Linked DNA regions of Oryctolagus cuniculus. The protein of the gene in region 1 interacts with the protein of each later gene in a pairwise test. Links are inferred from orthologs where the notes say so. Each region holds a gene or a part of one and is shown on either strand. Other genes may lie near its edges.

The links.
Region 2: the proteins of MAPK3 (region 1) and DHPS interact in binary tests that used the Homo sapiens proteins (3 or more experiments, as listed by UniProt). The link is inferred for Oryctolagus cuniculus from reciprocal best matches to the Homo sapiens genes MAPK3 and DHPS.
Region 3: the proteins of MAPK3 (region 1) and DCC interact in a two-hybrid assay, tested with the Homo sapiens proteins (2 studies listed by BioGRID). The link is inferred for Oryctolagus cuniculus from reciprocal best matches to the Homo sapiens genes MAPK3 and DCC.

What each region holds. Positions count from the first base shown.
Region 1 is NC_091450.1:7,472,638-7,476,728, reverse strand, and holds the start of MAPK3 (mitogen-activated protein kinase 3), read left to right. Parts: upstream 1-1,205; coding exon 1,206-1,378; intron 1,379-2,342; coding exon 2,343-2,525; intron 2,526-4,091.
Region 2 is NC_091447.1:62,235,851-62,239,929, reverse strand, and holds the start of DHPS (deoxyhypusine synthase), read left to right. Parts: upstream 1-1,234; 5' UTR 1,235-1,454; coding exon 1,455-1,661; intron 1,662-2,142; coding exon 2,143-2,307; intron 2,308-2,703; coding exon 2,704-2,825; intron 2,826-2,912; coding exon 2,913-3,009; intron 3,010-3,106; coding exon 3,107-3,193; intron 3,194-3,609; coding exon 3,610-3,715; intron 3,716-3,804; coding exon 3,805-3,908; intron 3,909-4,079. UniProt on the Homo sapiens protein: Catalyzes the NAD-dependent oxidative cleavage of spermidine and the subsequent transfer of the butylamine moiety of spermidine to the epsilon-amino group of a critical lysine residue of the eIF-5A precursor protein to form the intermediate deoxyhypusine residue.
Region 3 is NC_091441.1:25,985,901-25,990,321, reverse strand, and holds the start of DCC (netrin receptor DCC), read left to right. Parts: upstream 1-1,544; 5' UTR 1,545-1,671; coding exon 1,672-1,762; intron 1,763-4,421. UniProt on the Homo sapiens protein: Receptor for netrin required for axon guidance. Mediates axon attraction of neuronal growth cones in the developing nervous system upon ligand binding. Its association with UNC5 proteins may trigger signaling for axon repulsion.

The DNA.
Region 1 (4,091 bases):
TCTCTCTCTGTGTGTAACTCTGCCTTTCAAATAAAAAGGAAATATATTTTTAAAATTTGATTCATTCATCAAAAAGAAAATTTTTTTAATGTTTCAGTGCCAGGCATGGGGGTGGGAGGTGGGGATCCAGTGAGGAACAAGATTGACCTTGGCCCCTCTCAGCCTACTGAGAGAATCAGGAAGATGACAACCCTCTTGTGAGTTCAATTTTGCCAAATCCAACAAGCTGGATTTTTCTTTTTAAGATTAATTGATTAATTACTTTAAAAGAGTTACAGAGAAGGAGAGGCAGAGAGAGAGAAAGTCAATCTTCCATCTCCTGATTCAGTCCCCAAATGGCCCCAATAACCAGAGCTGGGCCAGGCGGGAGCCAGGAGACTCATCTGGATGGGCCCACATGGACGCAGGGGCCCAAGCACTTTGGCTGTCTTTGGCTGCTTTCTCAGGCCATTAGCAGGGAGCGGGATTGGAAGTGGAGCAGCCGAGATGCATATCGGATGCACCTGCTATGTCACAGCGCCGCCCCAGATTCTTTCCTTCTTCAAGTGTATTTTAACGAAACCTGCCCACCTGGCACGCACGTGGGGGCAACAGCTGGCCCTGCTGCAGCTGCTGGGAGGGCCAGGGCCTGGACCCCACGCCGGCAGCAGCACCTCGGGCTTCGGCCTCACCCTTAAACGGCAGGTGGGTCTCCACGCGGCTCTGATTTCAAGTACACTCCCTCGGCAGCCGAGCAGAGCTGGCTCAAGGAGGCCAAACCACCAAGGGCCGAGAGGACCCCCAGGGGGCTCCCACAGGAGCAGCTCTGGTCCCAGAAGGCCAGGCACTCCGGGGTGGGGGGCGTCCGGCCCCAGCACACCTTGGCCGGGTGGCCCTGGGGAAGTCACCCGCCAGCTGCCTAGAAATCGAGGGGGTATGGACCGCGCCTACAGCCGCCCGGCGCGCCCGCTCCCAGCACACGGAAGCCCGCAGCGACCAAGCACCGCTGCCCGGCGGCGGGAAAGCCGGACGCGCGCGGGGAGGGCCACGTGACGTCCGCGGGCGCGCGCCCCGGCTCCGCGGCGCGCGCAGGGCGCGGGGGCGCGGGGGCGCGCGGGGGCGGCGCGCGGGGGCGGGGCCTGGCGCGCGCGGCCCCGCGGGCGGGAAGGGGCGGGGCCTCGGGCGGGGCCGCCGTGGGGAGGGCGGGCGGGAGGGGAGGAGTGGAGATGGCGGCGGCGGCGGCGGCTCAGGGGGGCGGGGGCGGGGAGCCCCGGGGAGCCGATGGGGTCGGCCCGGGGGTCCCCGGGGAAGTGGAGGTCGTGAAGGGGCAGCCGTTCGACGTGGGCCCACGCTACACGCAGCTGCAGTACATCGGCGAGGGCGCGTACGGCATGGTCAGGTGAGGGGGCGTTCCGGGGGAGGGGGCGGCCTCAAGGGAGGGGGCAACCCCGGAGGAGGGGGCGGAGGAGGGCTGCAGGGGGCTCGTTGGGCCGTGGAGACTTGGAGTGGCCTGTAGAACCTGGGCACTCTGGAGGCTTGGTGGAGTATGCCCGGGATAGGAGCCCTGGGGTGCTTTCTGGGGGAGGGGGCGCTGCCCATGTTCCTAGGGGAGGGGGCTTGGAGGCTTTGAACGGGAGCCCTCCGCCCCGAAGGGAGCAGCGGTATTTGGGTGTCTGGGGTTGAGGGAGCGGTGGCCCTAGAGACCCGCGTGGGGCGACGAGAATCAGTAGTCTTGGTGAACGAGGACCCTCTTTTGAGAGAGGGGACCTTAGGGTGCCTTGGAGTCCCCAAGCGAGGCTGTGCCCAGGAGTGGAGCGGCACAGGCAGGGCTCTGGGTGGGGCGAGGCTTCGGGCCTCCGGGCCTGAGGAGAGGTGGGGAGTGCCTGCTTGCCTGCATCTTGGGGAGGGGTCTGGGAGCTGGCCCAGCCCTACTGTGTGCTTTGGGCCTTTGCACCGACCGGAAGTTGCTCTGCTGTCCTCGGCCCAGACCCGCCCCTCGGTCCCGCTCCCTGGCCCTGTGGTGGGTTGAGGCAGCCCATGGTGGGGAGGGAGGCCCGGGCTTGGGCAGAATGGAAGGGGGTCAAGCAGAGGGGAAGTCAGCGAGTGGCCAGTCTTCCTCTGTTTGTGAAGTCACCGAAAGGCGGCCTGGCTGGTCCCCAGCTTTCTCCCTGGAGAGCCCAGGCCTTCACAGCAGGAAGGAACGAGCATTGTTTATAACTTGGCCAGAGCCCTCTCCTGCTCTGTCCCCTCCCTCCCTGCCCCTGGCCTGGGTGGGGCCCGCTGGGCCTGGTTCCCGCTCCCCCCCCCCCATCACCACCACCATCATGGCCACACCAGCAGCGACGTCTCTCTGGGCCTCTCAGCTCAGCCTATGACCACGTGCGCAAGACCCGCGTGGCCATCAAGAAGATCAGTCCCTTCGAACACCAGACCTACTGCCAGCGCACGCTGAGGGAGATCCAGATCCTGCTACGCTTCTCCCATGAGAACGTCATCGGCATCCGGGACATTCTTCGGGCTCCCACCCTGGAAGCCATGAGGGATGTGTATCCTACCCCTGGGCCTCCAGAGCTGGGCTCCCCCCTGCCCTGCCACCCTCCCAAATGAAGGCAGTGACAGGCCAGAGGCCCCTCCCCCCCTGACCTGCGGCTGTCAGGCAGGGGGACCTTGGACAGGTCCCTTCTTTGCCCCAAGCCTCCATGGGGAGCCTGGGCGCCAAGGTCTCTTTGGGCTCTTTGTTTTCTGCTGTCTGCAGTTATGTGACCTGCTCTGCCCACGGTCACTTCTTGCTGAACAGACTGGTGATTCTTTCTCTCTGGATCCCCAGACTGGAAAGACAGCAGGGAGGAAGAAAACTGCTTTTTCTTGAGGGCCTACTGCGTGTCAGGTGCTACCCCTGCCTTTGGGTCCCAAGGATGAGGGGACTGAGGCCCGGAACAGCCCCCAAGCAGGTGTCTCTGTGGCTGCCTCACCCCTCCCCCACGCGGGAGCTGGTCCTTATCTTTCTCTGGGACTTCCTGCTCAGAGCCTCGCCCTGGTCACCCGCGCACCTGCCCCTTGCCCAGGGAGGGACAGCTTAGCCTTAATGCCCTCCCCCAAGAGTGCTTTTCTTGCTCCTTGTCCACTTCCGGCCTGGCTCAACCTGGCCTTGCGACACACGTCGCCTCCTCGCCACCCACCCATACCACCTGCTGGTCCCAGTCCAGTCCTCCATCCAAGGGTGGGGATTTGGGTGCCATGGCCAGAGCCCTGCCACAGACCAGGGACGGGAGATTTCCATACTCACCCAGCTTGCCGTGTGACCTGGGGCAAGTCACTGCATTTCCCTTTGAGAGAACACAGGAGATCTAGGCCGGGCCAGATGTTCTCTGAGCAGGTGTGCTGTGGGGGGTGTCTCCTCTCTCATTGTCCTCCCACAAACAGGCAGGCATTTTATTTTCATGCAAAAAAATCAAAATACTTGGATAATTTTTTTTTAAGATTTATTTATTTGGAAGGCAGAATTAGAGAGAGAGAGAGGTCTTCTATCTGCTGGTTCACTCCCCAAATGGCCACAATGACCAGGGCTGGGCCAGGCTGGGCCAAGAGCCAGGAGCTTCCTCTGGGTCTCCCACATGGGTACAGGGGCCCAACCTTTTGGGCCATCTTCTACTGCTGTCTCAGGCACGTTAACAGGGAGCTGGATCAGAGGTGGAGCAGCCGGGACCCGAACCAGTGCCCGTATGGGATGCTGGTGTTGCAGGCGGCAGCATTACCCGCTATGCCACAGCGCCAGCCCCCCAGGAGCTTTTTGAAGACCCCTTGAATTAGTGGACTTTGACGGGGTTTTTTGCACCAGAATCAATTTCAGTGATTTTTTTTTTTAAGTCCCCAGTGGAGATTTGAGGCATTACTGGGTGGACCCTGGAGCTGTCACTCTGAACCGGCATGTTCTCCGGCCCTGGACAGCTTGTTAGTAGCCCCATTTCCCAGGGCCGCAGGAGAGAATGCTCGGGGTCACCTGCCGGGGGTGTGAGAGGCCCTGTGCCCTGCTGCTGAGTTCAGCCCGGCTCTTGACAGGGGTTAGCAGATCTGCCGGGTCCCGGGGACCCCAGGTGAGGGGACGTGCGGGG
Region 2 (4,079 bases), on another chromosome or scaffold:
ACCTGGAAGAAGCTCCTGGCTCGCGCTCGGCCCAGCCTGGCCCTGGCTGCTAATGGCCACTGGGGGAGTGAACCTGCTGATGGAGGTTTTCTCTATCAGCTTTCAAAAGTAAATAGATAAACAAGCCCAGCCTCACAGGCTGCTGCCTGGCATCGCCAAATACCCCAGGCTGGGGGGGGGGGGGGGCTCATGCAACAGCGCTGTCTCTTGGAAGCCTGGGGAGTAGAAATTGAAGACCTAGGAGCTGGCGGGGCTGGAGGCCTCTCTTCTGGACCTCTCTCTTCTGGCTGTACCCCACCCCCTCCGTGTCTCTGTGTATGCAAATTTCCTCACAGGGACTCCGCATGGACCCTCCCTAATGGCCTCCTTCTAAGTCTATTATTGATTTTTTAAAGATGTATTTGTTTGTTTGTTTGAAAGAGTTACATAGAGAGGAGAGAGAGATAGCTTCCATCCATTAGTTCACTCCCCAGATGGCTGCAAGAGCCAGGGCTGGATCAGGCCAAAGCCAGGAGCCAGGAGCTCCATCCGGGTCTCCCACATAGGTGCAGGGGCCTGAGCACTTGAGCCATCCTCCACTGCTTTCCCAGGCCAGAAGCAGGGAGCTGGATTGGAAGAGGAGCAGCCAGGACTGGAACCTGTGTCCCTATGGGATGCTGGCGCTGCGGGCAGAGGCTTAGCCCACTATGCCCACAGAGCCGACCCCTGTTGTCCTGTTTTCTGCCTCACTGGGTCTCGTTAATCAGTAAATCCCCAGCGTACACAGCCAAGCCCTCATAAACCGCAGAGTGGGTGGACAAAGGGGTCCCCTCCGTGCCCTGCACAAGGTGGGTTAGGAGGGTGTATGAGGTGCTGGCCTCCCAGTCGCTCTGCGGGGTGTGTAGGGGGCGCTGCTGTCCGCCCTGAATCCCAGAGGAGGCTCCTGAGCCAGAGGAAGTCAGAGAAGGCTTCCCGGAGGTGACGGCTGCATCCACAGCGGGAAAGAAACGGGGCACCTGCAGCGCGTGGAGGCTCTGGACACTTGGGAGGGAACGAATGGGGAGCATTATCCCCACTGACGGGAGAAACTCGAGGCTGAAACTGTCTTGTCGACCCCAATCCTGTCTGACAGCTCAGAAGCTCAGAGCACAGAAACATAGGTAAGCGCCGCGCCACGCCACGAGTGTCCAGCAGGTGGCGCCAAAGCAGGAATGTCCAGGCACGCCTAAAGGCCTTACGGCTCCTCACGGCTTCCGTAGTACGGAACACGCGTGCCAAGATGGCGGCGCCCTAGGCCGCAGGAGCCAGAGTATCATGTGACTCAGCAACTTCCGTTGATCCCCTCTCGGATCTTCCCCGAGCCCTACTTCCTGCGCACTTGCGGAGACGCGCGTGCTGGGGCCTAGCGCGCTTCGAGGCCGCCGTGGGCCCGGCCCGGGTGGGGGCTCAGCCGTGAGAACCCTGCCGCGGGGGGCATGGAGGGCTCCCCGGAGGGGGAAGCGCCCGCCGCGGCGCTGGCCGCTGTGCTGAAGCACAGCTCGGCGCTGCCGCCCGAGAGCGCTCAGGTCCGGGGCTACGACTTCAACCGCGGCGTAGATTACCGCGCGCTGCTGGAGGCCTTCGGCACCACCGGCTTCCAGGCAACCAACTTCGGGCGCGCGGTGCAGCAAGTCAACGCCATGGTGAGGCCCGGGGCGGGACTTCCTGGCCGGAAGGGGCGTGGCCTCTAGGAGAGCCAATAGGGTTCCTCCAGGGCGTGGCTGCCAGGAGGACGGAGGGGGTGTGTCGCCCGAAGGGGCGGGGCCCACCCTGGGCGGGAACCGACTGCGAAGCGGCCTTTGCCCGTAGCGTCTGTAGGGGGCGGGGCCTGATTTTTGGTAGGAGATGGATTCTAGGCGAATTTTTGAGAGACAGAAACGGGGAACTCCGTCGGGGCCTCCCACGCGGGTGCAGGGTCCCCGGCACTCGGGCCGTCACCTGCTGCTTTCCTAGGCGCATTTGCAGGGAGCTGGATCGGAAGCGGAGAGCCTGTAGGGCGGGATTTTTAGTCCCCAGTAGAAGTGGCCCCTTCTAGAAAGTGCATTCTCATTTCCGGAACTCACCTTGGGGGGTCCCTGGCGTTTGCCGCCGGAAACTTAACCTGACCCCGGCCCCTGCCCCAAGATTGAGAAGAAACTGGAGCCGCTGTCGCAGGATGAAGATCAGCACAAGGACCTGACCAAGAGCCGCCGCCCGCTGACCGGCTGCACCATTTTCCTGGGCTACACGTCCAACCTCATCAGCTCAGGCATCCGGGAGACCATCCGCTACCTCGTGCAGCACAGCATGGTGGGACTGCGGCCTTGGGCAGTCATTCTTAAAGATTTACGTAGTTATTTGCAAGGCAGAGTGACAGATCTTCCATCTGTTGGCTCACTCCCCAAATGGCTGCAGCAGCTTGGGCTGGGCCATGCTGGAGCCAGGAGCTCCATCCGGGTCTCCCATGTGGGTGGCAGGGAGCCAAGTATTTGAGCCAGCACCTGCTGCCCCCTGCCCAGGATGCCCTAAAACAAGAAGTAGAGCAGCCAGGGCTGCACTCTGAGGGGGGGGGATACAGGCATCCGGAAGTGGTGCCTGTCCCCCAAAGTGGCCAAGCTCTTTCCTGGGGATCAGGGTTGAGGCTGAGTTGGGGACCGTTCCCTGGGAGTGGGGCGGGGGCCCAACTGCACTGCCTTCGAGCTGCAGGTGGACGTCCTGGTGACCACGGCTGGAGGTGTGGAGGAAGACCTCATCAAGTGCCTGGCGCCCACGTACCTGGGCGAGTTCAGCCTCAGAGGGAAGGAGCTCCGGGAGAATGGGATCAACAGGTTAGGGGAGGGGGCATCCCTGTGCACCGCTGGGGGGGGTGCTGAGGCTGGGGTGGGGGCTGATGGCCGCGTGCCTTCTGTCCCCAGGATCGGGAACCTGCTGGTGCCCAATGACAATTACTGCAAGTTTGAGGACTGGCTGATGCCCATCCTGGACCAGATGGTGCTGGAGCAGAACACAGAGGTGGGGGCTGAAGAGTCTTGGGGGGTGGGGAATGGGGTCCAGTGTGGTGCTGGGGGTTAGAGGAGCGTGGGCTGACTGCTGACATCCCCCCTCCCAGGGTGTGAAGTGGACGCCTTCCAAGATGATTGCCCGGCTCGGCAAGGAGATCAACAGCCCGGAGTCTGTGTATTACTGGGCACAGAAGGTGAGGGCCGCTAACACACAGCGTGGCCTCGCCGCTCTGAATTCCAGCAGTCTGACAAGTAACAAGAGATACCGGTGTGAGCTTCCATCCACTGGTGCACTCCCACAAATGGCTGCAACAGCCAGAGCTGGGCCAAAGGCAGAAGCCAGGCGCCTGGAGCTCTACTCGGGTCTCCCAGTGTGGGTGGCGGGGGCCCAGGCACCTGAGCCATCCCTGCTGCCGCTCAGCGCACATGCGCAGGAGCCAGGACTTGAGCTCAGGATGCAGGGGCCTCCTGCCCCGCCCCAGAGTGCCAGGCCGGGGCCAAGTGCTGGGTGTGCGTTTGTCACGTAGGCGCCCTCCTGCGGCAAGCAGAGGGGCCCAGGCAGGCTGCTCCCCAGCCTCAGCCTGGCCCTTCACTGTCTGCCCGCCTGCAGAACCACATCCCCGTGCTGAGCCCGGCGCTGACCGACGGCTCCCTGGGAGACATGATCTTCTTCCATTCCTACAAGAACCCGGGCCTGGTCCTGGACATCGTGGAGGGTGAGGCGCGCTGGGGCCCTGGGAGTGGCAGAGGGAAGGTGGGTGCTGGAGGGCTGAGGCCGGGGCCTGAGCGCGCTCTCTGCCCGCAGACTTGCGGCTCATCAACACGCAGGCCATTTTCGCCAAGCGCACGGGGATGATCATCTTGGGCGGCGGCATGGTCAAGCACCACATCGCCAACGCCAACCTGATGGTGAGCGCGGGAGGGCGTGGGAGCCCACTGGGCGCAGCGCCCCCAGGGCGACGGGTGCGGAGAGGAACAGGCCAGGACCCCCGCTCTCCCGGGGCTGCGGGCCAGCGAGCGATGCACGTGTCCGGGCGAGGGAGGCCCCTGGGAAGCGGGCCAAGTGCCCTGCGTGGGTCT
Region 3 (4,421 bases), on another chromosome or scaffold:
TCCATTGGTTTGTAAATTCACTTATTCAGCAAAAACATGTTGACATGTGCTGTATTCTAAATCCTCTCCTAATATCTTCAGTGGGAGCAAAGTGGATGGCTTCTGACATCTGCTCTCAAAGGAGCACCAGGTTTCACAGTGAAGGTCTGGTATGCACAGAAAGTTAGCTCACAGAGGCTCTTGACTCTCTCTCTCTCTCTCTCTCTCTCTCTCTCTCTCTCTCTGTGTGTGTGTGTGTGTGTGTGTGTGTGTTTGCTTCACTTTGTGTCCCAGGGACTGGGAAAGTGTCCTTCCTCATTCCACAGACGATCATATTTATCATGCTGTTCTTGAATTATCCATGTATGCTTCTCTCCCAACATATCGCAAAACCCTCGGGGACAGAGACTGAGTCAGACTGAATCTCCTACCCAGATTTCCTGGAAGCCAACAGGGCACCTGGAACATGGTCAGTGCTTTACAAGATGCTGAATAAAGTCTTGGCTCGCGAGTAGAGAAGCGAGAACACAGATGAAACATGATGTCCCGCGAAGACAGGTGTGTGTGTGTGTGTGTGTGTGTGTGTGTTTCGGGACGTCCTGGCCTGGCGTTTGCCCTCTGTGTGTTTAGGGACCTCAGTACCCCACCGGTCCTTCCTAGAAGGAAGCTGGAGTTGGTGACTCTTTCCAGATGCAAATAATCTAAGCAACCTTGGGGGCAGGGAAGGAAGTAAACCGCTTGGCCACCTGCCCCAGCTTAAACACCTGCCTAGGTTTTACTGTCAAATAAAACCAATTTCCTAGCGGTTGAGTGTCAGCAGACGCGCACCAGGTTCGCGGGCTCCATTGACAAAACTGACTTCCCACGCTTAGCCCACAGAGGGCATCCTGAGCACTGATGCTGCGCACCGCCGGCGAACGCAGCCGCCGGGAGCCTCCTCCGTCCGCTCCGCTTTCCCCAAGCCGTCGCCTCTCTGCCCCCACCCCCTTCCCGTGCAAGCGCTGCCCGATCCAGTTCGCTTCCCTCCACTCTCCACATTTTCCCTTCCAGCCGTCCACTCCTCCGGATCAATGGAGAGTACGGTTCCAACTCCCAGCTCGCACGCCGCTGGCAGACACCCCGGTAACAAGTGAGCGCGCTCCGCCCCGTAGCCCCCTGCCTCCCCTCCCGTGGTCCCGCGGCTCCTAGAAGCACCGCGGCCGGCATCAGCAGCTCTCTCGCGGATTTTGCTCCGTAACTTTACCCCGCCGACGACGTGCAGCCGGCCTCAACCTTTGCATGCGCAGCCCAGCCGCGGGATGGCTCCCCGTCTGTCTCCTCCTGGTCCCCGAGGATGCTCTGTGAATTGATGCCCCACCGGCCTCGAGGACAGCTGTCCTCTCTCCCGCGCCTTGCGCTTCCTTGAGTTAATGTCCCCAGGTTTTCCCTGGGCTTGGGAGCTCTTGCACCAAATGGAACTTTTTGCTGCCGCCTGCTGCTGCTGATTCTGGACAAGGAACAAGGCTTCGAGGCAGAAGAGGCGCAGGGGAGGTGGAGGAGGAGGACGACGACGACGAGGAGGAGGAGGAGGAGGAAGAGGAGGAAGCCGAAGGGGCTCGGCGCGAGTGTGCATGTGTGCATGCGTGTGTGAGTGCATGTGTGTGAGTGCCGCCGCTGCCCAGGACCCCCGGCCCCGAAGGTGTTGGCTGAAATATGGAGAATAGTCTTGGATGTGTTTGGGTACCCAAGCTGGCTTTTGTACTCTTCGGAGCTTCCCTGCTCAGCGCGCATCTTCAAGTCACCGGTAAGAGCCTCTTTCCTTTCTTCTCCTCGCACCCCCTTCCTTTGCCTTCTCGGTTCGTTTGGCGACTGCTAGAACTGGGGTGGAGGAGAAAAAGCCATACCCTCAGCGCTCGCTCTGTCCCCCTATTCTCGCCGGTAATAAAAGAAGACTTTTTTTTTTGTCTTTCCCCTGGGGGCGGAGGATGCTGGTAGCAGGGGAGAGGGGCGCCCCTTCGCTCTTTTTTAAAAACCGGGTGCCTCTGGCGTCTTTGCGTCTGTGAATACTCGTGTTGACTTGCAGGGCTGGCGGGCTGAGGCAGCTCATGGGGATACTGTTGAAAGGAGCGAGGCTGGATCTCGCAGCTTCAGAAGCCGGCGAGGGTTCAGGGCGCCGGGGGCAGGTGCAGGAGGGCACAGAAGGGGCTTTGGGGAAGTCTGTGCGGGATGCAGGTGGTGGGGCTGAGGCGGCAGAAGTGATGGTTGGTTGTGTGCGCCTCTCGGCTGGGTTTGCATCTCTGGACTTGCCGATCTAGGACCGGGAAAGGGTTGGCTAGTGAGTGTAGGCTCCTCCGAGGAGGGGGCCGCGGCGCTCAGAGGCACCGAGTTGCCAGGGAAAGAGGGGCGCGTCGGATTTCGTTTTATTTTTGAATGGCCAGTGCCGTTGGGAAGCTAAGTCTCAGCTACCCCCCAGGACACCTCCAAACTCCAAATGATTGCTGAGGAGGTCCGGGGTGGGGGGGAAACGGGCCCGGCCCCTGGGCCAACGCAGTTTCTCATGAAAAATGTCAAAACTGTTTGGAGACAGCAAAGGGCTAGGGCAGGGGAAAAGGGAAATCTGGAAGCCGCTCCGGGCGGCTGCAGTCTCCCGGAAGACAGAGCCGGGAGGCTTCGACGGCCCAAAGAAGAAAAAAGAGCGTCGCGTCTTCTTCTACCGCCCGTTCATTCTGCGGGACCTCTCGTTCCAAGGGACCGGGCGCTGGGATGCAGGGGCTGGCCAGGTGGGGAAAGACAGGGGGCCGGTGGGCTGAGCGTTCAAATCCCTTCCCAAACGACCTTTTCCCCAGTCCAGAGGAAAGGGGAGCCCTGGGTGGGAGAGCCGCGACCTGCGCCTGCCTGGGAATGGAACTCCCTCGTGGCGGCCGAGCCCTGGGCCACCCGGAGCCAGCGGCCTGGGCTTTCTTGCTCCCGCTAGGCGCTGCATGGCCAAGGGTTGCGAACGCGAGCGGAGCACGCGCCTCCCCCGGTCTTGAGGGACCGAGCCCGCCCGAGGCAGGAATCCGCTGGCGCGTGCACACGGACTCGATTCCTCATCGGCGTTTGGCCAGACAGCGCGCGGGAGTGGAGGGGCGTGCGTGCGTGTGTCCCCGCGCGCTCCCGCGCACCCGCCTCCGCGGGCCCGTCGCCTCCTCCCGGGGCTCCTCTCCTGCAGAGCTTTGTCCTCCTCAATTACTCCCGCGGAAGGTGGGCGGGGGGGCATCCTCGCAGTAATGAATAGATGTCTTTAAGATTCCCTGCTCGAGACCTGCGGCTGCTACTGCGGGGCGAGGGACCCTCCTCAGGCGCCAAGGTTGACCTGAGCGCTCTGGGGCGGTCTGGGGGCCGCCGCGGGCCGAACGGGGCAAGTTCGGAAGGGAGCGCTGACCGCGGGGCTGAAAAGTCTGCGGACCAGGGAACCCGAGGCCCGAAGTGCGCCGGCTGCAAGTACTGCAGTAGGCAAGGTGTTCAAAAATGGACAATGATGTCGTGTTAATTGCAAGAAAGCAGTGTAAAACCATTTCCCAAGTGACTTTTGTGTGGCAAGGGGTGGGAGTGAATGAATGGAAGTGTTTTATTACTATGTAAATACATTAAACATCCCTTGCACACTTAAGTTTCTTGTCCAGAGAATGAGATCCAGAAATTGCTTTATTTTGATTCCTTTCTCAACACACAAGCCTACGCCTGAAAAAGCAGAAGAAAAATATACAAGGGATATGTCCACCGATGGACTTGTGGATCTAAATCTTTAAACTTATCTACACTTCTAAAACCAGTTCTGTTGTTTGCAAGTGAATTGTGATGCAGTTTGCACAGTTCTCGGGAAAGCGGATGGCAACCTTTTAAGATACTGGGAATTCAAATCTCTCCGTTCTGCTTTGCTCATTAATCTGAGTTTCACCTCTTTCTTTCAGTAGCAACTTCCCCCCTTTGAGAACATAGCTGGGAATTGGATGATAAAGAAAGCATATTTCATTCCATGAAAGGACCAGTAGGAGGTGCCGTTAATAAGGCCACGCGCCTAGTTTACTGACAGTGAAATTCCCGTTCAGCAGGGTGTTTTAAAGACTTTGTTGATGGGTAACAAAGGATTATGGAGAGCAGCACAATGACACTGGCCCCTTTCCCACTTTCTAGGTAAAGTCTAAAGCTGCTGCAGATTTCTATGAAGTTGTTTGCACATAACAAAGGGTATCCCTGAGCAGGGTCAGCAAAGGGTGAGGACTTGATGCTGGAGGAGGAGAAAGATGGCTTTTTAGTTGGGATTTGTCAGATGCCACCTTCTATGCTTGGCATGAAGCATGGAAGCAGGATCTCCGGATCTGAGGTTAGACAGAAGTCCTAGACGTCAGCTGTTAAAGAATGAAATGAGAAGTATACACATTCATTAATTCCTCATGCATGTTTGGCTGAACAAAACCTAC